5 linked regions of the Rattus norvegicus genome follow. The protein of the gene in region 1 interacts with the protein of each later gene in a pairwise test. Links are inferred from orthologs where the notes say so. Each region holds a gene or a part of one and is shown in the gene's direction. Other genes may lie near its edges.

The links. The genes of interacting proteins can lie anywhere in the genome.
Region 2: the proteins of Creb3 (region 1) and Bik interact in a two-hybrid assay, tested with the Homo sapiens proteins (2 studies listed by BioGRID and IntAct). The two-hybrid records come from large-scale screens. The link is inferred for Rattus norvegicus from reciprocal best matches to the Homo sapiens genes CREB3 and BIK.
Region 3: the proteins of Creb3 (region 1) and Gja1 interact in binary tests that used the Homo sapiens proteins (3 or more experiments, as listed by UniProt). The two-hybrid records come from large-scale screens. The link is inferred for Rattus norvegicus from reciprocal best matches to the Homo sapiens genes CREB3 and GJA1.
Region 4: the proteins of Creb3 (region 1) and Slc30a2 interact in binary tests that used the Homo sapiens proteins (3 or more experiments, as listed by UniProt). The two-hybrid records come from large-scale screens. The link is inferred for Rattus norvegicus from reciprocal best matches to the Homo sapiens genes CREB3 and SLC30A2.
Region 5: the proteins of Creb3 (region 1) and C11h3orf52 interact in a two-hybrid assay, tested with the Homo sapiens proteins (2 studies listed by BioGRID and IntAct). The two-hybrid records come from large-scale screens. The link is inferred for Rattus norvegicus from reciprocal best matches to the Homo sapiens genes CREB3 and C3orf52.

Annotation. Positions count from the first base shown.
Region 1 is NC_086023.1:62,616,289-62,619,788, forward strand, and holds the end of Creb3 (cyclic AMP-responsive element-binding protein 3), read left to right. Parts: intron 1-239; coding exon 240-346; intron 347-444; coding exon 445-513; intron 514-1,110; coding exon 1,111-1,195; intron 1,196-1,281; coding exon 1,282-1,366; intron 1,367-1,441; coding exon 1,442-1,764; 3' UTR 1,765-2,194; coding exon of another isoform or gene 2,195-2,431; 3' UTR 2,432-2,731; downstream 2,732-3,500. Other genes in the region: Gba2 (non-lysosomal glucosylceramidase), read right to left, coding at 2,195-2,431, 2,782-2,973, 3,057-3,172, 3,252-3,394. UniProt on the Homo sapiens protein: Endoplasmic reticulum (ER)-bound sequence-specific transcription factor that directly binds DNA and activates transcription. Plays a role in the unfolded protein response (UPR), promoting cell survival versus ER stress-induced apoptotic cell death.
Region 2 is NC_086025.1:116,550,477-116,555,328, forward strand, and holds the start of Bik (bcl-2-interacting killer), read left to right. Parts: upstream 1-1,826; 5' UTR 1,827-1,925; intron 1,926-4,852.
Region 3 is NC_086038.1:36,300,714-36,305,589, forward strand, and holds the start of Gja1 (gap junction alpha-1 protein), read left to right. Parts: upstream 1-1,850; 5' UTR 1,851-2,033; intron 2,034-3,043; exon of another isoform or gene 3,044-3,861; intron 3,862-4,876. UniProt on the Homo sapiens protein: Gap junction protein that acts as a regulator of bladder capacity. A gap junction consists of a cluster of closely packed pairs of transmembrane channels, the connexons, through which materials of low MW diffuse from one cell to a neighboring cell.
Region 4 is NC_086023.1:151,841,726-151,846,476, forward strand, and holds the start of Slc30a2 (proton-coupled zinc antiporter SLC30A2), read left to right. Parts: upstream 1-1,725; 5' UTR 1,726-1,798; coding exon 1,799-1,848; intron 1,849-2,455; exon of another isoform or gene 2,456-2,506; coding exon of another isoform or gene 2,507-2,517; coding exon 2,518-2,726; intron 2,727-4,743; coding exon 4,744-4,751.
Region 5 is NC_086029.1:68,627,806-68,632,595, forward strand, and holds the start of C11h3orf52 (similar to human chromosome 3 open reading frame 52), read left to right. Parts: upstream 1-1,764; 5' UTR 1,765-1,813; coding exon 1,814-1,948; intron 1,949-2,105; exon of another isoform or gene 2,106-4,790. UniProt on the Homo sapiens protein: Has a role in LIPH-mediated synthesis of 2-acyl lysophosphatidic acid (LPA). LPA is a bioactive lipid mediator involved in different biological processes, and necessary to promote hair formation and growth.

The DNA of each region.
Region 1 (3,500 bases):
GACATGCAGGCAAAACACCTATACACATAAAAATAAGAAAACTCTGGCTTTTAAGTGCTGGACACGTGTCCTGTGGAGATGTCCACACAGAAGGTGAATGCCTATTGGCAGAAAAGCTGTGGAGAGAATTTCATTGGGAAGGTTAGCTGCCATCCAACACACCTATGTAATATGTAAAGGTATGACATACAGGCATATAATGATATCCCATGGGTGACCTTTTCCCTATCTTCTCTTAGGTGGAGGAACAAGTTCTAAAACGAGTACGGAGGAAGATTCGTAACAAGAGAGCAGCTCAAGAAAGCCGCAAGAAGAAGAAGGTGTATGTAGTGGGGCTAGAGAGCAGGTAAATGGGCATGGGGGAAGCTAGAAACCTAAGGTTTCGAAGGGAGGACACACAATATTTGGATATCCATGTGTCCTTGTATCCATGTTGTCCTCCAGGGTCTTGAAATACACAGCCCAGAATCAGGAGCTTCAGAACAAGGTGCAGCATCTGGAGGAACAGAATCTGTAAGTGGCCATTTGAAGCCATTCATGTTTTTAATGCTTTTTTACTCTTTCCCCTGGTCCACGCGACTTCTAAATGCAGACATCAGAGTGATGGAGAATAAACTTAAAGGTAGCTAAGGAGCAGTAAGTACCAAGTTAAAGAAGTAAGAAAAGGCTGAATGCAGGTCATCAACATCAGAGCGGTTGCAGTCATGGGCATGGGACTCGGAGAAGACACATATTGTGCTTGGCTGGACACTAGCTCTGGGGGGTTGGCCCAGGGGTAGAGAACACAGTGCTGGGTGAGGCATGCAGAGTTTAAGGCATTAGAGAGCTTAAAATAAGAAAACTCTGGCTTTTAAGTGCTGGACACTTGTCCTGTGGAGATGTCCACACAGGAGGTGGAGTTTGTTTAAGTCAGGGCAGAGAAGTTTTACTTTTTGTCTCACTAAGGGATCACAGGCATTTGTGCACAATAAAGTCATTTGGGGAAAAAGGAGCAAGGAAGCGGAGGCTGGGTCCACAGCACCAGTGGAGAGGGTGGCTTAAACAGGAGGGTTTCACTGTGACTTGGACACTAGGCCGGAGCATGCCCACCAGTTTCCTCTCTTCTCTTAGGTCCCTTCTAGATCAGCTGAGGAAACTTCAGGCCATGGTGACTGAGATAGCAAACAAAACCAGCAGTGGCAGCACTTGCGTTCTGGTGAGGAGGGGGACAAGAGACACTTTCCTTGGCAGGGCTGGGGTGTATGACCCAGAGCCCATCACCTCCCTTTCCCTGTGTTCTAGGTCCTCCTGCTGTCCTTCTGCCTTCTTCTGGTACCTGCTATGTACTCCTCTGATGTGAGGGGGAGTGTGCCCGCTGAGTATGTTGGTAAGAGGCTTGAGGCGTGGGCTGTGGTAGAGGGCTTCTTCTGTGTTGTCTCCTGACAAGTCTCTTTCTCTTCAGTGTTGCACCGCAAGCTTCGTGCCCTGCCCAGCGAGGACCAGCATCAGCCGAAGCTGTCTGCCCTACAGCCAGAGCTACCAATGGGCAGCACAAACCAGTTGGAGAGCTCAGAACATACATTCCTGGCCCCCAGCAATGTTTCCTGCCTGAACCACATGGCTCAAACAGAGCAACCCCCGCACTGGCCACTCCTTGATCTTTCTTCAGAGATGCCCTTCTCAGGCTCCGACCTTCTCCTGCAAGCAAATCTTACAGAAAGTGGAGGATGGCTCTCTACCCACAGCCCTTCTTCGATCATCTTACAGGGCAGGTATTCAGGTTAGGTGTGAGGATATGGGGTGTCCTCAGCCCAAGGACTCCTGTCTGTATTCACATAAAAAGGAGTAGGGGAGAGCCAGCCTTTGCTCACGGGCCTGTTAGGATGCCCAGGAACTCACCACACTAACTAGTTGTATGAGCATTTTATTTATACCCATGTGTATCTGTTGTCCCATGAATAGATTTGGAGAAATTTACTGGCCTTGAATACTTCATCCACAGAAGGAATGGGAAGGATAAGAAATAAATAAGTGGTTCCTCAGCCCCTTCTTACTGGCACAGCGGGGTAGGAAGAGGAGGGGCATGATTGTCCTATTGGCTCAGGGCTGCAGGACTTGTGGGAAGAGGCAGGGAAGCCCCGTGCGGAGGCTGGGCCTCCACAGCTCAGTGGGATCGCTCTGGACGTAGGTTTACAGTGATCTCTTTGGTCCGCATTCAGGCTGTGCTGGGTGCTGTGCCTTGTGTGACTGCTGGCCGGCTGCTGTTCTTTTTATGCTGCTGCTGTTGAAGGGCCAGCTGCATGGCCCAGATGCTCAGGGGCCGCATGTAGGCCAGGGAGCGGAACACTCGCTGCTGGCAGTATGCCTCTGGGGTCTGGAAAGCCAGGCCCAGGCGTTCCCATACAGTGCGGTAACAGCCTTCAGCTGTCCGGAAACCTTCCCAAGTCAGGCCCTGTAGGGAGAGGTAGAAGCCACACATAATAGCTAGTTCTCAGCACAATTTCCTTAGCAGATAAGGCAGTAAGCTGTTTGCCCTAAAGGCAAGAACTTAAAAGGCAAGAGGTGGAAGGCATATCCGGGAAGAGGGAGCTCTGTGGATGGGTAAGATGGCATTAGGTGGGGTTGGGGATTTAGCTCAGCGGTAGAGCACTTGCCTAGCAAGCGCAAGGCCCTGGGTTCGGTCCCCAGCTCCGGAGGGGGGGGGGGGAGATGGCATTAGGTGTTCTTGGAATAAACTGAATGGCTGAGGAAGTCTTCTGGACTAAGGTACAATGGTGAGGGGATGGGAAGAGAGTACATTACCTCTTGGATCATGGTGGCTGCCAGCCCATAGACCACGCCCACCCAAACTTCATCAGACTGCACACTGGACCTATCAGGGACACCATGAGGCTGCATCCCATTCACAGCCCCCATGGCTCCTCCTGCGAAGGCTTGGACATTGAGCTCAAAGATGGTTTTGAGAGCACGGACAACATGCAGGGTAGGGAATACCTGGAGGAACGGCAAAGGCGGAGTCAGACTTGCCTCCCACCTCCAGGGAAACCCACACTTCTCTGGGTCTTCTACTCGCTCACTTCAGTGTCTCCTTCTCCCAGGCCGCAGGCCCTCAGGAACCACTGCCCAGCACACTGGTCAGACATGACGCTGCGGGACTGTGGCTGGGAGCTGCTGTCGTAGTTGTAATAGCGTCCTGGAATAGAGAGGGAGCAGAGTAAAGTTGCTGTATCCTGAGGTTGGGTTTTAAGATGCCCCAGGTTGCTTTTACTCACCGTTCCAGAGCAATCTCTCATAAGCTTCCCGGCCTCGGCAGAGAATGGAAGAAAACTTATCCTGGACATCCTGGGCCCCACACAGAACGGCCATCTGGACCATCACAGCCACAGCTGCCAGCCACAGCCCTCCGCAGTAAGCACTGGTCAGGGACAGCAGCTGGGGTGAGACTGGCAGCTCCAGTCCCTCCCACACATGAGCACTACCATCCTAACATGCCCGGGCCCCCACCTCAGACCTGGAGATCC
Region 2 (4,852 bases), on another chromosome or scaffold:
ACTCTTATTTAAGTGGTTTTGCCCCATTTCCCTTCGTTTGTCTCTTTCTCTCTCTCTTTTAATTTATTTTAGACAGGGTCTCTTGCATCCCGGGTTGTCCTGGAACTCACTGTAAAACCAGGTATATAGCCGTGAACTACTTGACCTTCCACTTCCCAAACCTGAGGTTACAGTGTTAACAACTCACCCAGTTTTTTCTTTCTAATTTGATTCTCAGCCTGGCAGTGGTGCATGCCTTTAGGGGAGGCTGAGGCTGGCAGATCTCTGTAAGTTCCAGGATAGCCAGGGCTACACAGAGAAACCCTGTCTTGAAAAACATACAAACCAACAAACCCCTCCAAACAATGAATTCTTGCTATATTACCCAGAACTGACCCAACCGACTTCCCAGCCTCCCCAGTCCCAGGGATGAGTCCTTGCACTGGCCTCCCATTTGGTCAGCATGTTGCCTTGGAGATCCTGCAGGCTAAATATTTTCACTCACCCTCTCCCCTGGGCCGGTAAATCCCAGTCTGACCTCAGACTGGCCTCCTTCCTCCATCCAGTCTTCCGTTTAGGGAACATTTACTATGTGCCTGGCATTGTGCCTCCAGAGGCCCTAGCACACATCCTCAGACCTGTCAGATCTTTCTGGTCCGTGAGACTCCTTGTTACTGTCTCTCTTCTCTCAGTCAGTTTTCTGCAAATTCATCTGCAAAATGCACTGGCAGAGAGGCTTCAAGTTTTCCTGTCCGGTCCAGGCTGTGGCAATCCCTGATGGCTAGGACCAAAGGTCAGGGTTAAATTCGCTTCTGGGCTTGGAGGTGACAGAAGGACCACAAAACTGCTAAAGGTCTGGGTGGCAGGTTTGAAATGCCTCTGAGTTGGACCCTCTAACATGTGAGGGGAGGGGCTGTCTCCTTGTGTCAGGAGAACATTTAAGGAACCCCAAGTATTACCTCTCTCCGCACAGGAGAGGGAAGAGCCCAGTTTACTTGACCAAGCACGCAGCAGGAGGCACCTGCCCCAGACCCTGACCTCTGCATCACCGAGAGGAGCTGACCTGGGATAAACAAGCTTTGTTGTTATATAGATAGTGGTTACTTTGTAATTCAGCCAGCCCTACATCAAAACACACCTCAGAGCCCCTAGTCCCGGGAACTGGAGACTGAACTCCTCCCACTTCACCTGTAATTCTAGATTTCACCTCCTACGGATCCCCTTCCTACACCCTAAGTCTTAGCTGGAGGGCTGGGCGAGCTCCGCATTCACCGGGAGAGAGGAGAGAGGAGGAGGGGGCAGGGGGTGGGTGGGGAGAGACTGGGAGGTGCAGCGGGAAGCTTGTAGCAGGCAGGCAGGAGCAAAGGGAAGCCGTAGGCTTCACCCCTGGTTTCTGGGAAAAACTTTCGACCTTCGTGAAGATTTAAAGACACCCAACTCCCAAGTGTAACAGCCTGAAGAGCGCGGAGTTCTGAATATTTGCTTCACCCAAGCCCTCGTCCGTTCTGAGCCTGAGTTTCTACGTGGGTAAGTGGTCAGGGAAAAAAGCACCGAGCCTTTAGTACTGTGAGGATTAAATAGGCAGCCCTTGCTAGGATTCGGCTACGGCGATGGCAGAAGCGGCATCTACGAATACTCGGGTGCGGAGAGCACACTCGCAGATGCACTGGCACGGACACTGTGTCAGGTCCGCAGGCGACGGAAGAACGTCTGCAAGTTAACGACTTTTAAAACAGCGGTTCTGCAGCCACTATTTAGCCAGGGATTTGGAGCCCCGGAGGGAGGGGCTAAAGGGGAGGAGCCGGACGAGCGCGGCCACCTATCAGTGCCCAGCCCGCCGCTCACAATAACCCGCCTCCAGCCAGCGCCCCCAACTCAGCCACCCGAGTCTGGGCCGAGAGGTGTTCGGGCAGCTCGCCCGCCGCTACGCCAGCTTAGCCGGGCAGGTAAGCGCCCGGTAGCCCTAGCCCAAGTAGCCGGAAGGTTGGGGACCCGTGTTCAAATCCCTTGGTAGCCCCGGCTCCGAAACGTCCCCTCCGCGTCTCACACCCCAGAAGGTGCTAGCCGCGTCCGCGTGTCTCGCTGCGCTTCCGTGCACTGGGGTGGCCCTTGCGTCCTGGCTCCAGGACTTGGTAAGCAAGTGGCCTTGGCTGTCGCCGTGCCCTCGGTGTCGGAAACTTGGGGGAAGCAGCTCGGGACCAGGGCGCGGCACTGCCACAGTAGGGCGCCCAGGCTCTGCCCCGGGCGCAGGCGGAAGATGGCGTCCGCACCTGTCTCCGCGAGGACCTGGGAGTTCGCATCTGTCCCTCCCTTGGGGATCCTGGGATCCGTACCGTTCCTGCCGCGATCTGGTAGTTTACACCTGTCCCCGATAGAATCCAGCTTCGCATCTGTCCCCTCTGGGACCCCGGGACGCACGTCTTCGAGGGGTGGCAGAAAGGCCTTCTTAGGCGACCTGGGTAGTTTAGTCCATCACTTTCTCGAAGCTCCTCGCCACCTTCCGGTGCCGAGGCGCAGGGACCGGGAGGGGATCGGAGGGTCCACCAAGGTCATCTGTGTGCTTCCCAGAGTACCACCCACAACCGACACCGGGGGCTCAGTACTTCTGTCACTTTCGCTGTCCTCTCCGGCCTTGTGGCCTTGCGGATGCATGCGGATGCAGGTGGTTTTGTAAACTTAATTGCAGTTTTGAAGTGCACTGAGCCACCCCTGCAAAGTGTTGTTGTTTACTGTTGTCGCTGCAGGTGATAACACTGTTACTGTGGTCTGGAGCCAGGTGCAGAGCTCTCTAGAAGGTTGGTTTCATACCTGCTTTGGGGTGTGGGGGTGGGGTTGTCAGTGAACCTTAATCTTAACCTTTGGGGAGCAGGCTTCATTTCAGACAGAGTAACGGGCATGTGTTCCAGCCGCCACACAGAGCGGACTCCCATAAAGGCTGGCTCCGTCAAAGCCTGGAGGGTTTTCTTGGAGGCCATACCAACCTCTCTACTTGTGACCTGCTTTCCGTTCTGACTGTGTGGCTTTCTAGAGGTTCCTCCACCATTCTGGACCTCAGTTTGTTGAGTTTTTGAAATGTATCCTGGTTTAACCTGGAGGGGAGGGACCTCACCCAAGAAGCCGCTGAGCTACTCAGCAATGCTACCTTGATTTCCGTTCTGTTTGGGCGCGATTACTGTTGCCGCTTTACCAGTATCCACTGAAGGCTTATCTGGGGCCCTTGGCTGCCTTTGGATCTAGTGTCCTGCCTAGGGCAGGTGGCACTCTGACCTCCCAGCCTTGCCCCTCCCCACGCCTCACTCCCCCCTCTCCATATTCTCCCCTCTATACTCCAGGATTTGAGGCATAGTCTCAGGTAGCCTAGGCTCGCTATGTAGCTGAGTTTGGTCTTGAAACTCCTGATTCTCTTACTTTCCCCGCCTGAGTCCTAGGATTCCAGGTACAGTTATTGTGCCCAGGTTATTTATTTGTAGCTAGGGATGGAACTCATGGCCCTGTGCCTACTGCCATTTTTCTTTCTTTTTTTTTTTTTTTTCCGGAGCTGGGGACCGAACCCAGGGCCTTGCGCTTCCTAGGTAAGCGCTCTACCACTGAGCTAAATCCCCAGCCCCTACTGCCATTTTTCTTAAGGCCTCACTATGTAGCAGGGCTAGCCTTGCATTCTCCATCCTCCTGCCTGCCTCCAGAGTGTTGACTCTTCGTCTGCTTTCTGTTGCTAATAAGATGCAATGCCTCAGGTCGAGTCAAGTTATAAAGAAGTGAAATTTATTCTGGGTTCGTGTGGGGTTGAGGGGTCATATTGGATGACGCCCTCTCTCTGGCAGATGACAACATACATTGTGCATTTTACCCACCTCCTAAAGATCTAGTCTCTAAACCCCACAGTGAAGTCGAGTTTCCCCCTCCAAATACCTCACGAGGGGGATTAAATGTCAAAGCTCCAAGCTTTGGAGACCCCCCCCCCCAGTCATATCTAACCACAGCACCTCTCCTTCAAGGTCACAGAGCTGACACTGACCTTGGCTGCTGTTTCTCTGTTGTTCCTGCAGAGTTAGGTTTTAAAGGTTGTTCGTGGTTTGCTCTTTTGTATTTTGGAGACAGGGTCTCACACTTTATAGACCAGGGTGTCTTTGAACTCTCGATTCTCTCACCTGAGATGCTGGGGTCATGGGCCTACGATACCAAGAGTATTTTTTTTTTCTTACCTCAAAATCTGCACCTTGCCTGAGGATGCTGGCTTCCAGCCCAAGTTTGGAAATGCAGAATGTCATTTTCCAGCTTGGTGACAAACTTGTGTAACTTCGGTTCTAAGCTGTCCCCTAGTTAGCATTTTAAAGTTGCCTTTTGTTTTGATTCTAGACCTGGGGATGGGACCCTGGGCTTTGTGTATTTTAAGTAACACTTTACCCCGGAGCCACAGTTGATCCTTTTCTGTAGCAATGCTTCTTCAAGCACTGGGAGGTTTATAAGAGACCATCAGAGTGATACAGCCCTGTCCCCATGGGTGTCTATGTGGCTCTTCATCTTCTGATGACACCTTCCCTGACAACCCCTCCACGTCTACCCTTCCTGTCATTTCACCCATTCGTTGTCCTGTCCTAAACCCTTGGCTGTCTGAAATCTCACGAATTCGTGTCCTGACCTTCTGTAGCCTGCATGTTCTGTGAGCCAAGGAACATCACAGGAGAGCCCGTCATAGCCTGGACTCTCTCCGGGTGGAGAGGTTACCTGTGTGCTGGTCACTGTGGGGTGGGTGATATACAGTGATGAAATCACTGAGAGCAAAGAAGCCCGAGACTGTGGACTGGAGATGTAGCTCAGTGGCAGAGTTGCTGGATATTACACACAGATTCCTGGGTCAGCTCCCAGGGATGGA
Region 3 (4,876 bases), on another chromosome or scaffold:
TACACTTGTATCAAAACATCATATAACCCCAAACATTAATGCAATTTTTATATGTTTTATCAGTTAAAGATAAATTGAATAAACCAGGTATGTGGTGCTCACATTTAATCCCAGGGCTGAGGAGGCAGAGGCAGGCAGAATTCTGGTCTACATAGTGAGTTCCAGGAGAGCTATGCAGCGAGACTTCATGGTTTAAAACAAAAAATTAATTAAATAAGTTTAGTAAGAAGCAGCAAGATGGCTGAGTGGTTAAGGTGCCTGTTGTCAGGTCTGACTCTCTAAGTTCACTTTCCAGATGGAAAACGGGGTCCAACGTTCACAAACTGTCTTCAAATTTCCACTTGCACACACATATGTGAATACACACATTTGATAAATACATGTTTAAAAAGTCTAATGTCACATCTCTGGACATAAAGCATTGAAAGTCAGACTACAGTTTCTGCTTCTGTCACATTGTTTCCCTTCTTTAAGTTAAAGACAAACCTCAAAAGTAAGAGAGCTCGCTGGGGTCTTAAACTGTGAGATTTCAAGTGGTGCCTCCTTAGGCATTCCAGCCAGGCACGGGAAAGTGTTTCTACGAAGTCTTTGCCATCCTTTGTTCTGCTGTTTGCCTTAGAGTGAGATGCTCAACCCAGTCAGGTGATGCCTGAACAAAGGCCGAGAGATTTCCCTGCCTAACCCCGGGAACACCGCTGAAGCCTGTTTATTGCCCTGCCATAAGCCCTCTTGGAGGACATCTGGGAGCCCTCAAAGGAGCTGCCCACCCTTAGGAATGAGGTTATATGACTCAGTCCTTCATAAACCCCGTCAGGTATGATGAGAAAGCCATGAAGTTGTAGGCAGGCGGTCACCAGGCAGACGTCTCTCCCCTGGATGGGCTTCCTAGGGACATGATCGAAAGAGAGGAGGAAGTTTTCAGACTGGCTTTATGCTAACATAATGTATCTGGAAACTCTAGTCTGCAGTTAGGAGGAGGAGGAGGAGGAGGAGGAGGAGGAGGAGGAGGAGGAGGAGGAGGAGGAGGAGGAGGAGGGAGGGAGGGGAGGGGGAGAATTTTGGCATCTTCCTGCCGATTTAAATGCTAAATTGTAGTCATGAATAGGACTGAGATAGGACGTTCACTTCCTCGGAGACTGGGTAGAGGTCAGTATCAACGTTTCAGTCCAAAGTTACCTACATGATATTTTTCATAATACATAACATCTACCTTCCTGTTCTTAATCGAAGGAATACACAAAACTATCTAAAGCAGCAGAGAAACCGACGAGTAGACATACCCCTCCACTGGGGCTGGTTGTGAAATGCCTTTCCCATGCCCACCGCCTTTTTTCCTTTGTTAATTGTCCGTGTTTAAGAGGAGGAGAATTAGGTCATAAGAAAGATCACGCACACCCACCTCAAGCTTCACACACCTTGGGGAACGCAGAACAAGTCTGCACGAGTTGACCTTGTCCCCCCCGCCCCCCATTTTTATTTATTGCATTTTTTTTTCATTTAGAAAATGTAACACGAAAGGTACGTCTTCTCCCTCCCCCTGGTCATCCCCTGAAACAAGCCCTACTACACCCAACAGTATTTTATCTGTGAGGAGTCACAGCCCTGCAGTGGCCGACGGACAGCTAGAGCTGTTTTCTCATATTTTTTTCCCTTCTCGTCAGCACATTCAAACTACAACTTTATCTTGACCAGGTTGCTTCTGCCTGCTCAGCCCCACGTTCGTCAGCCTCCTCCCCACCTTCTCCCCGCCTTTTCTTCCTCCCTCCCCTTTCTCCTGGCCCCTCCTTCCAGTTGAGTCAGTGGCTTGAAACTTTTAAAAGCTCTGCGCTCCAAGTTAGAAAAACGCTTTTACGAGGTATCAGCACTTTTCTTTCATTGGGGGAAAGGCGTGAGGAAAGTACCAAACAGCAGCAGACTTTTAAACTTTAAACAGACAGGTCTGAGAGCCTGAACTCTCATTTTTCCTTTGACTTCAGCCTCCAAGGAGTTCCACCAACTTTGGCGCGCCGGCTTCACTTTCATTAAGTGAAAGAGTAAGTTTTGATAAAAAACCCGCTTTTACCTAATAGCGTCTCTTTCTGTCAGGAAAACTCTTGCACTGTGCTTTGTAAACGCGTTGCGTCTTTGGCTTAGGATATCGTAAGTAGAACGATGGTCTTCCAAGTGTCTTTGCCATTTCCACGTGCTGGTTTATATTTTGATTGTTTAAAAAGTTCCGCTGCTCGTGCAACAGGTAAAAGGCTCAAACTTTTTCCAGCTAGAGTGAAGGACCAACTTCCTAGACTTGGTTCTTTGTTGTGGAGCCTAATTTTCACTTTTCTGTAGTCCCTGATGGAGAAGGTGCTGCGGTGGGAGGGAAGGGGGGGTCCCCTCCGTCAACTTTGCCTAGCCTGCTTCCTCTAGTGCAGGACACTGCAGGCTTTTTCCTTTTTCCTCCTGAAAATCCCGTCGGCTGTTCTACAGCCTTGAGAAAGCTGGCTCCTTTTGTAACAGTGCTTTGTTGAGCCCCTGCCGCAGCAGTTGACTTCCACGTGGTTCTTCCTTAGCCTTTTTTCTGGATTAAGCCAGAAAATACGTAGATCGGGGTGCTGCGGGTAGGGTTTTTAGACCAACAGTAGTTACTTTGTGCGAGCCAGCGCGGTGCTACGGGACGAACCCCTCAGCCCACACAGCCAGCTTTTTTTTTTTTTTTCCCCTCCACGCTGGCAACTGCGGGCGCGAGAAATCTTGAATGGGTGGTGGTGACTTGGGGAGCGTTAGAGGAACCGGCGTTAGAAACAGTGTGTGCCAGGGTGCTTTTCCAAAACCAACTGCTAAAACCCAAGCTCCTAGAAGGAATGGGGAAAAGGGAATTTTGGAGCCGCGCTTTAGAAGGGGCTGCCCCCTCCCCACCCCCACCCCCCTTCGCCTGCCTGCCCGGACCTGTAGGGACTTCAGAGCTGTTGGGACAGTTTTGAATTAGCTTCTAGAGGGTGCAAAGCACTAAGCAAAAATGATGTTAACGTGCAGTTTAAAGGGGATCCGTCTTAAAGCTGTTATTTTTTTTCTTTATTTTTAAATTGGTAACACATTCTGTAAAGCACTTTGCCCAGTCTTCATTCTGTCCGGCCTAAATCCACACCGAAACGACTCAGGGTGGGTCTGTAGTTTTGTTTGGTTGGTTTTTTTTTTTTTTCCCGTGTACCAGACGGGCCGAGTCCTTTTGAAGTGAAAACTTTAGGGCAGAGGGTGGCACGGGCCCTTCCTGCCCAATCTTAGCATCATCCCGGGCTCGGCTCCCCGCAGCCTTCCGGCTTCGCGGTCCAGACCGCTGCCTGCGACGGAGGGGGGTTGGGGGGGAGGGGAGGCGAGCCTCGCGGCCGGACCGTCAGAGGCAGCAAGTGGTCGACTTTATTAAAGTTGTCAATCTGAAGTCTCTTCCCCTGCCCTCCGAGACGCCTTTTCGTGGTTTCTCTGCCTAAACTTGTCGGGTGGCTGAGTGGAGCCCCCGGGAAGGTCCCCTGAACACCTAGGGAGCCCGGGTGCTGGTAAATGCACTTGTAACACTCCTGGAAACTCTTGAAATTCCCCAAGAATGAGGCGGGGCGGAAGAAGGAGGGGCAAAGAAGACCCTTCGAGAAACCGTGCGACAGCTACTGACGTGTGCTGAGGCAAATCCGTTCAGGATTGGAAAATTCAAACCTTGACTTCCGAGCAGAGTTCTCCCCGTTAGTGCCCTCGGGTCCACCCAATGCTCACTGGGCATCTCTGGCAGAGCCTTGGCCGAGCACTCGGCGGCCCGCGCCCGGAGGTGAGCTTCCCTTTCCCTCCCACTACTGGGTTTTGAGGAGAGGAGAAGAGCCTACAGGGCCGACTTTGGAGGTGGGTTTGATTTCCTTTGTTCCCCAAGCACAATAGTAGTGACTGGAAGGTAGTGAATCTTACCAGTCCAAAAAGACCTCTGGGCAGCAACCTTGAATGGTCAGTAGCTTCCCATGAGGAAGCCTGAGGTTAATTTTTTCTTTTTTATTTTCATGAGGATTGATGAAAATAAAAGTGTGTTAAAGTAAACGAGGGCATAGACTGCGGGGGTGGGGTCGTACTAGTTAATTCTGCTGGGTAGGCCAAGTTGTGTGGAAATGAGCGCATTTACAGGCTGTACTTTCTGTCCTGGAGAGGTGTTGAACTCTGGATTACTGGAATGCACTCCCCGGTGTGTGAAAGCTTTGTGCATCTAGATTCGGGTACAGTGGGCTACCTGTCCCTTGCTGGGGTTCCAGGTGGTAGTGCTTTGGTACTCCACTGTCTAAACACACACCACATAGATGTTCTTCAACGTTGTCCCATCATCCTTTGAGGTTGGGATTCTTATTATTGCTGACCTTCCACGGGGAAATGTGGTTCTAAAGCCAGCAGCAAGAGGGGAAGGCTGCGTTTCCTTCCGCGAAGGGAGCAGAACTTGGTTGCTTAGCCGTCTTCAATTCCTGCAGAGAGAAGGGATAGCAGATACTCTGCTTTGCTTTATCACCGTATTGCAGAGGTGCAGTTCATGTGAATTGTAGAAATTTGTATGCCCCGAGGGAAGGGAACTATAGGAAAGTCACCCACTGATTAATACCTCGAACTCCACCTATCCTGATCTTCTACCTTCCCTTCATGATTCTGTTTGACTTCTGATGTGTCGAGGCTTATCCAGCTCACTAAGGAGAGAAATAATCATCTTGGGTGTGTCATCCACGTTTGCATTAAGTGTAGATGCTCCTCCCAAGCTTAAACATTCCTAGCTGCTTCTAAGTGGGAGGGTACAGATGTGTGTGTGTGTTGAATTCTTGGGAGAACTGGTTAAAATCTCCACTTTCCACAACTGTTAATGTACCATAAAGAGATGTGTGAGCAA
Region 4 (4,751 bases), about 89 Mb from region 1:
GCACTACACCCAGAAATTTTGTTTCTTCTGCTCCCCACTCTTTGAACTGAGAGGGTTTGGTATGGGCTTCTTTTCATTATTCTTGTTTATTGAGAGAGGGCCTTCAAGTCTTAAGTACCCCAGGCTGGCCTCAAGGTAGCTATATAGCTAAAGAGAACCTTCAACTTCCGATCCCTTCCCTCTCCACCTCTGCAGAGGTGGGACGACGAGCCTATACCATCACCTGGTGAATGTGGTGCTGTGGCTGGAACTCAAGGCTCCACACTACCAGCTGAGCTACCCTAATCCAGTCCTTCCTCCATCCCCTTGAGACAAGGTCTCATTCTAGCCTGGGCTACACATGGCCATAGTCCTTCCTTCTCCCACTCTGGGCCCTGGAGATAGCCTCCAAGGATTTATTGACCAGTCGACCAATGAACTACACCCCCCCACCCCCACCCCCACCCCCGTTATACTTAACAAGCTGTGGTCATGAAGACTCTAGGAGAAGGAGTGACTGAGCAGGGAAGTCATCAACCGGAAGGAGATACCCATCAGCAGTCAGTACTGGGGTGTGGGGGAGGGCGAGCCATAGGGCCCAATCCCCAAGAGATAGACTGTTTAGAGTACATTGGGCAAGCGGAGTACAGTGGGCACATGCCTTTAATTTCAGCACTGGAGAGGCAGAAGCAAGTTTGAGGCCAGCCTGGTCTACAGAGCAAGGAGAGTTCCAGGACAGCCAGGGTTGCACAGAAACCTTGTCTCAAGGAGAGGGGGGGGGGGGCAGAAGGACGGAAGGACGGACATGTGGGGCGTGGTCTTCTCGGTTGAAGGTACCACGCCCTCTCAGGAATTTTCGGGGCTTCTGGGGTATACAGGCTGCTGCAGTAAGTCTGTTCTGCCCAGATAGCATCGATTAAAAAGACAGGACACTGTTCTTTGTAGAGGTAGAGATAAAGCAGCTACTCCAGATCGCAATCAGAGAGTGCAAGGCAGGAGGAACTTTCAAAGTGGATCTGTAACTCCAACTACTGCAGTCCGTTGGGCACGGCCCCAGCAAAGGGCTGCAGCCACAGGGCAAGAGCACCAGCCCACTGTGGGAATGTCATTCCCTTGAATCAAGAATCAAACTCCAGGAAGTCTCTCTTCCCCTTGGCAGCCCCCATCAAAGCTGCTAGTAGTCACATCCCTGCCCTAAGGGCAATCAAAGAATTTTCTTTCCTTTCGTTCTGCCGGTTGTTGTTTGGTTGGTTGGTTGGTTTTGTTTTTTGAGACATTGTGTAGCCTTGGAACTCACTCTGTAGACCAGGCTGGCCTCGAACCCAGAAATCTGCCTGACTCAGCCTCCGCATTGCTGGCATTAAATGTGTGTGCTACCACACGGGGCTGATTTTCTAGAAACCCAGATTCCAAGGCTTTTTTTTTTTTTTTTTTAAATTCCTATGGGATTCTGGGAAGAGCGGGTGCTTTGGTCACCTAGTCCTATCTTAGCAACTCTGGGCAACTCTTAGCAAGTGCTTTCCTCTTTGCTCCAGGCAAAAACTTTAGGTCGCTGGCCTCTCGGCTCCTTCAGGCTCCGGACGCAGGAGACGGGTCCTGGGGGCAGAGCAGCGATTCCCTTTGCAGCCGGCCGCCCTTCCCCCTCCCCGCGGGCTTTTGCACACGACGCGCTGCGGGCGGCTTCACACGAGGTGGTGAGGGCCGGGGATAAAGCGAGCGGGCGCGGGGCGCAGAGGCAGGACCAGAGCTGAAAGTAGAAGGTGACTGCGAGCTGCCATCGTCCCGCGCGCAACTTCGAGGGCTCACCGGGAGAGGTGGCATGCAGACCATGGACAAGCAGAACCTGCTGGAGAGCACGCGCGGAGCCCGGTAAGTTCAAGCCCCAAGGGGCGGGAATCTGGGCGGCATCACACGCACCTCCTCTTTGACCATCTTGGCTGTGGTTGGTCTGGGCGGGGGCTTGAACTGGGACCCGATCAGAGGGATGGGGTGAGGCAAGAAAAAGGAAATTGGCAGGGACCTCGTAGCCTCAGGGATCACCTGTCTCACCTGGCCAAGCACACAGATCCTGAACGCTGCCAGCCCGTGCGCCCGAGTAGGACCTAGGGTGCCTGGAACCCCGCCTTCACTCCAGCACTTTGATCCCGGGTAGCCCTGAGGTGGGGAGGCCCTGTGCCCTCGGGTGCGCTGAGCTATGGTCTTTAGCTGCTGTCTGAGCCAGAACTCTGTTCTCTCTCTGAGCTCGACCGGACGGACTGCCCTTTGGCTAGTTCGCAAAGACTCTCCTCAGCCTGGGGATGGGTGGAGGAGGAGGGGACCATCCTAGAACAAGGTCCCAAGACTTACCTCCCCAGTACCACCCCCACCCTCCTCGTAACATTGGCTGCTTACCTCTGCTTACCCGCCAGCCACTGCGGCGTTTGGAGTGTTTTTACTTGTTCTAGAAACTTCGCACCAGCCATAACACCAGAGACTGGCTCAGGGCTGCCTCCCTGCCTCCGGCCAAGCAATTTTTTCTGCCCTAACCCTGGCCTCCAGGTCTTTCTTTGGAGCTCTGTGGAAGAGTGAAGCTAGCCGAATCCCGCCTGTGAACCTGCCCTCTGTTGAACTGGCTGTCCAGAGCAACCATTACTGTCATGCGCAGAAGGATTCTGGAAGTCACCCCAACTCCGAGAAGCAGAGGGCCCGACGCAAACTCTATGTGGCCTCTGCCATCTGCCTGGTGTTCATGATTGGAGAGATTATTGGTAAGGCCGTGTGTGGGAATCAAGTGAAGTTGTTGCGCGGATAGGCCGAATGCTCACATCAATGCTAATGGCACTAATAGCCACCCCAGTTTAATCGCTTAATTCTCTCTCTCTCTCTCTCTCTCTCTCTCTCTCTCTCTCTCTCTCTCTCTCAGTAGCCTTGGCTGGCCTTGAACTCATGTCTCTGTCTGCTCCTCGAGTGCTGGGATTCATGGTGTGTGACACCACAACCACCAGTATTCATTTGTTTATTGTTTTTTTCGAGACAGGGTTTCTCTGTGTAGCCCTGGCTGTTGTAACTCCCTCTTACGCCAGACGGGCTTCGAACTCAGAGATCTGCCTGTCTCTGCCTTTCATGGGCCACTACCGCTGGGCTAACTTTTTTTTTTTTTTTAAGGTAATCTCTTGGCTAGAGCCATGGCTCTGTAGTTAAGAGCACTGGCTGCTGTTCCAGGGGACCTGCTTCCCAGCATCTACCTGGTGGCTCATGGTCATCTGTTATTCTAGTCCCAAGGAATCAGGGAATCAGATGCCCTCTTGTGGCTTCAGTGGGCACCAGGCATGTGGTATACATATATACATACATATATACATACATACATACATACATACATACATACATACATACAGGTAGGCAAAACACATACACTAAGTTAATAATAAAAGAATTAAGAAGAGCCCCTACTGAGGCCTGAACTGGATTTTCTGTCAGTTGGGATTAACGTCTGAGACAATCTGCTGAGGTGCATATTGAACTAAACAAAGTGAACCTGGCCTCCAGGTTCTCCCAGCATCCTTCAGTCTCTACATGGCAAACTCTGCCTTCAACCTGAACTTTCTAGCCCAGGGGGCTGAACTTCTGACCCCAGAGGCTCGGTCCTGTATAATCCAGACATTTCGGTACCCTGCCTTCCTGCCTTCTTGTCTTCTTGTTCATTCTTGTTTGTTCTCTCTCTCTCTCTCTCTCTCTCTCTCTCTCTCTCTCTCTCTCTCTCTCTCTGTCTGCACACTAGAGTGCCACCTGCTTTTTCTTCCCCCTCCCGTCTCCCTCTCCATGACAACTTCCCTGACCCTCACAGGGACCAGTGAACTCACCTGAGTGGTTTCCCAATAAACCTGCCTTCATATATACTTTTAATCTGCTTGAATTAGCTAACTTCGCCAGTGGAGAAATGACTTACCACTTTCTTTTGTTTCTTCCTTTTTTTTAAAAGAAGATTTATTTATTTATTTATTTATTATATGCGAGCACACTGTCATTCTCTTCAGACACACCAGAAGAGGGCATTGGATCCCATTACAGATGGTTGTGAGCCACCATGTGGTTGCTGGGAATTGAACTCAGGACCTCTGGAAGAGCAGTCAGAGCTCTTAACCACTGAGCCATCTCTCCAGCCTGTCTTCTTTTCTTTGAACTTTTTTTTTTTTAAGTTAGATGGAATTTTTCTCTGTAGCCCTGGCTGTCCTGGAAGTCATTCTTTTTTTTTTTTTTTTTTTTTTTTTTTTTGGTTCTTTTTTTCCAGAGCTGGGGACCGAACCCAGGGCCTTGCGCTTCCTAGGCAAGGGCTCTACCACTGAGCTAAATCCCCAACCCCCTGGAGGTCATTCTTTAGACTTAAGGCTGGCCTCAAACTCATAGAGCTCCACCTACCTCTGCCTCCTGAGCGCTGGGTTTAACGGTTTTTGCCCCCCTCCCACACACACACTGGGTTCTTCCTCTGTGTATCCCTGAGGTGGCTTGGAACTTGGCTTTGCCTCAATTCAGTGACTTGTCTGTCTCTGCTGGGATTAAAGGTGTGTTCCACCATGGCCTGAGCCTGGGAGTGGACGTGAATGAATTCCACAGGAGTAGTTGTGACTCAAGAGAAGAGGTCAGGTGCTCATGTTGTACTGAGAGGTGCAGAGACCCTGAACCCAATGGGCCTCATCTTCCAGGGCTGATGGGCTCTCTGCTGTGCACTACTGGGGGAGCTGGCCCTCTGGGGGAAACTCACCGCCCTGGCTCTCAATTCCTCAGGTGGGTAC
Region 5 (4,790 bases), on another chromosome or scaffold:
ACCTCATAAATGGAAATAAAACAAAACACGGTAATTAACAGAGGAGGTAGCAACTGTGTTGGTTTCCAATCCAACTTGATCTATCCGGATCATGGTGAATCATGACTGCACAGGGTGCAATTTTCACTAACGCAATAGAAAGAGCTGTGGTGAGAGGTAGACTGAGGCACAACCATGAGCTCCTCTCTCTTGATACAGGTGACCAACAGTGAAGGGCCAGAGGCGTTTTGGGTGAGTGCTCTGAAAGTCAAACTTCTCAGGTATACTATCTCCTGGCTTCTGGTTGTTTCTGTGAAATTTGAATTGTCAAGATTTACTTTTTTTTTCAAAGTCTTGTAATGAATGTTTTTGAAGAGCTGTAAGTCTAGAGTTTTCGCTCAACTCACTCCGTATTGGAATAATATTTTTCTTGTCAGAGGTCAGAGTTAACCACAGCAGCAAACAAATAAAATGGGATAAAAAGCATATTGGAGGAGAAGTAATGATACTATTATTAAACAGATCTCAGAACACACTGCACGGATCTGCAGAGAAAGTACAATCAAAAAGGAGAGAGAACAGGAAACGTTATTTTCCAAATTAGTAAAAATGATTGAAAAGTTATGACTACCCCGCGATAATGAATATTTCCAGTTCACAGCGCTTGGTTTGAGTTTCTAAAATATCTTTCCTTGGGATTAAGGATAAACATCACAACAACACCATCTCTCTGGTGGCTGGTGATAAAACCCAAGGGTAGGGCCATAAACGTGGGCTGGATGCCTAGAGCTGATAGAGACATTTCTAAATATGTTCTCAATATTTCTGGAATCCCCAAACTGGTCTTAATAACTGTCTATGTGGGAGGAAGGCAATGGGAGGGGGGCAGTGGCTCTGAGAAGAAGGTCTAGCTAGAGGCAAGATCTTGGATCAACACCCAATACACACTTTGCTTTGCAAACGTTATTTTGGGCTCACTAAGCCAGCTCTGAGCTATGCATGGGGTGCGGAAGGCATTGTATGCTTCCTGACACACATACTTTTTTTCTCAGGTGGGGTGTTTATGATCCCCTCCTCTCAAAGATAAACAATAATTAGTAAATCAGTAATGAATTCTGCCAGGCACTGTCTTCTGGCCTGAGAAACACAAGCATATGGGGAGCTAACGCCGTGCTGATTGCCCTTATTACTCTCAGCGATACTGATACTGCCCTATGCCTGAATCAGGTGGAAGGGGAACTTTGGGGCTGTATATTATTCATCTTCCTGTGCTCAGAATCCAGGATGCTGCCTGTCACCCAGAAGATGATTCATAGCTGTTCGTTGATTTGGTAGATGATCCCTCGCTAGACAGAACTGGAGTAAGTTTCAGCATCTCACCGGTTCAAGTAGAAGGCAAAGTTCTGGGAACTGGCCCCCGCCCCCATCCCCCAACCCCCAAACCAGCCTAGCCCTTCCTTGCCACAGTCCAGCTTGCAGTCAGGCCTTGGGAGACTGTCTGCGGTCTGTATCCACACTGAAAAGCATTGCAGGTTGCACCCTGAACAAACCAGAAAAACAGCCTTCTTCTGCTCTGAGCCCAAGGCAGCAGGGTCCCACCCGCATCTACCTTTCCCGAGAGCAAGGTCAGCTAACCAAAGCCAGAGTGCTCCCACTCTCTAGCTTCGCCCCGCCCCTCCAGGTCCGCCACCACAGGTCTATCTGGCGCCGCCCGAGGTCTACCTGCCACGCCTGGTGGGTGGAGTGTGAGCGGAGCAGTCTCCCTGTGCTGGACTCTGCACCCTTAGGTGCTCGCGTCTTGGCTCTCAGTGGAGCCTCGGTCTTCCGAGTTGCCATGGAAGGGTCCAGGACCCCATCATCCCGGGAAGAGCTGGAGCTCTCGATAGTGGAGGGGCAGCAGGAAGAACTGACGCCTCTGAACAGCCTTCAGATCCAGCCTTGCTCCACCCAGGACCCTAGCCCCGCACAGGTAAGGACTTAGGGTTCTGGCGTGACAGCAGGAAAGGGGCTTGGCACCGCTTATGGGCGCGGGAGTGTCCTTCCATCGTCCGGACATGCTGAGAAGGGGAGGTTAAAGAATGCAAGAACTTTTGGAATTCCTTAGACCGTATCCCTTCATTTCTCAGACTCGGACCCCGCCTAGAGACTCTTCAGGAATCCTGTAGAAGGGCGTGGCTGCTCCTTTCAAGGGAGAGCAAAAGAAGTAGAGGTGGTGTTTGAAAGTTATGTAACTTTTAACTTGTTTTTCTTTCCTTCTCTAATAAAATTAAGAGTGATGGATTGAATCATATTGTCTCTCTCCCTTCCCCCACTTTCTCTCTCTTTCTCCTGTCCCTTTCTCCCCTTCCCTCTTCCAACACCCCTCCCCCCAGCTACGACCACCTCTAGCAGTATACAGTCAACTGTCTCCTACCTCTAAGTCCTCCGTGCCCTCCCCCCACCTTCAAACACGTCTTACTTTCTCCCACTTTTGTCATTGCTTCCTCCGCACTAAAAACAGGTAAAGAGAAGGAGGAAAGCTGCTGAGGTTAGACTGAGGGGTTGTGGACTTGCCTGCTCAGTATAAGGGAAATAATATCAAAGTTCTTCCTAAGAACTAGCCTCACTCTCTTCTCTTCTAAGGACTTCTCTAAGGAAGTCCTTAGGGGTGTGTCTTTTCTGATGTCATAGCTGAGCATTAGCCACAGATCAAATACTTGTAAAACATCAGAGAGTTTGAATACTGAACCACTTCTTCTGATCAACTCCAAAGGTTTGCTTAAGTTTTCCTGGGTACACTAGATTCTCTGGGCACTCGACCTCCATCCCTCTTCTGCCCAAGTTCTGACTTTAGTAAAAAATTCAAAGCTTGAAAACATTACTCTGTGTCCACAGTGATTCCTGGAAACACGGTGTGACAATGTCTTGCTTCATAGGTATCTTGGAGACTAAGTTGGCTCCTTATGTCTGCATGAAATAAGACCACAGATGAATGGAGTTTGGAAAGTAATGGCTGAAGGCCAGTGCAAGAAGCCATAATCAGGAACTTTCTGTATAATTCCCCAGGGCAGGGATTAGGCAAGAGAATTAGAAATACTTGCCTCAAGGTGGGGGTGAACCTGGAAGAAATTGGAATAGGGATGAATATTATTTTTTAAATACATTATGCAAAATTCTCAAAAAATTAAGAAAAAATGTAAAGGAAAATAAAAATTCAAACAAAACTTGTAAAAAAAAAAAAAGAAAGAAATACTTGCCTCTAGTTAGTCAGGTGCAGCACATCCCCAAAGATTGAGGCATTTTCCAGAAAAAAAAAAAAGTGTGTGATCCCAGAGAAGGCTGTGAAACAATGTTAATATCATATGCTCCATTTAGGCTATGGGAGCTCTAGACTATTTGTGGACAGCAGCTGAGAACTGGGTATCAGAATTTTATGATGGCTTAGGGCCTGCCTTGTTAAAACCATGCTTTGGTGTCCTAGTGACTTCCTTGTTAGTCAGATGTATGCAGATGTGCCAGACTTCCTCATAATTTGGCTTTGTAGGTTACTAAATAGCAACATTTCAATAACTGAGAGAATGGGGTAAGGGTAGAGAACCTGAAGAACCTTCTAGAAATACTTGAGTCATAGCATTTTAATAAGGAGAGAGAGAACAAAACCTCAAACCCTTCCCTAACATGTTCGCCATCCTCTGACTCTGTAGAATAGGTTGAAACGTGTTTCATCATGAAAAGCTCAATCAATGAGGTTCAGAAAGAACTGACTAGCACAAGCACATGGTTACACGCTTACCAATTGTGTGTCACCATCTTAAGTTGTGTGATAATAGTTCTGACCTTCGTGCTTATTTAAGTAGTCCATACACTTTCTAAACCACACGTTTTGTACCTATCGCTATTATGTGCAGCGGTGTAAACCATAAGTGCAGTTAATTATTATCAACGTTGAGGGAACTGCCCTAGTTAGCATTGAACTGTCAACTTGAGATAGCCTAAAAATCACGTGACAGGAGTCTCAGCTGAGTAACTGTACCGGGTTGATCATCGATCTGTGTGGATGTTTGTAAGGGATTATCTTGATTATCAATTGATACAGAGGATCCAGGCTACTGTTGGGGATATCATTCCTAGGCGAGTAGTCCGGGGCTAAAAGAAACTGGTTTGGCATGAGCCAGTGTGAGAGCCAGTTAACAGCATTCCACCATGAATTCTGCGTCAGATTCCTGCTTGAGGTCCTGCCCTGACTTCCCTCAAGGGTGGCCCGAGACTTAGAAGTATAAGGCAAATAAACCCTTCCTTCCCCAAGTTGCTTTTGTTCAGTGTTAAATCCTAAGGGAAAGAAATGAAAGTGGAAGAGGGAGGATGCTAGTTCTCTTGTTTGAGAGATGAAATAGCTCAGGGAAGAAGCTGAAGCTCAGAGATAACAACCTAATGGCGCAGGTTCACTCAGTGCCCTGAAGTTCAGATTCGGTGTCTTTCAATGTCTCAGGTCTACATTGTTCATCAATTTTAAGAAAACATTACGTTGATTCTGTCTCTGTCTCTGTCTCTGTCTCTGTCTCTGTCTCTCTCTCTCTCTCTCTCTCTCTCTCTGTGTGTGTATAAAAGTTGGGCTAGGAGTATATGAACAATTTGTCTCTCTTTCTTAATCTGAATTGGAACGTAGAGGGAAAGGAATGTAAACCATCGAACACAACGTTGTCTATTGTTACTACAGGTTAGCACCCTTGGGCAAAATATTGCAAAAGAAACTGTAGGTAAGAGGGCGAGACTGAGTGTGTCTTAGAGCTCATGACAGGGGCCCTGACTCAACATCCCAGAGATATCTTAGG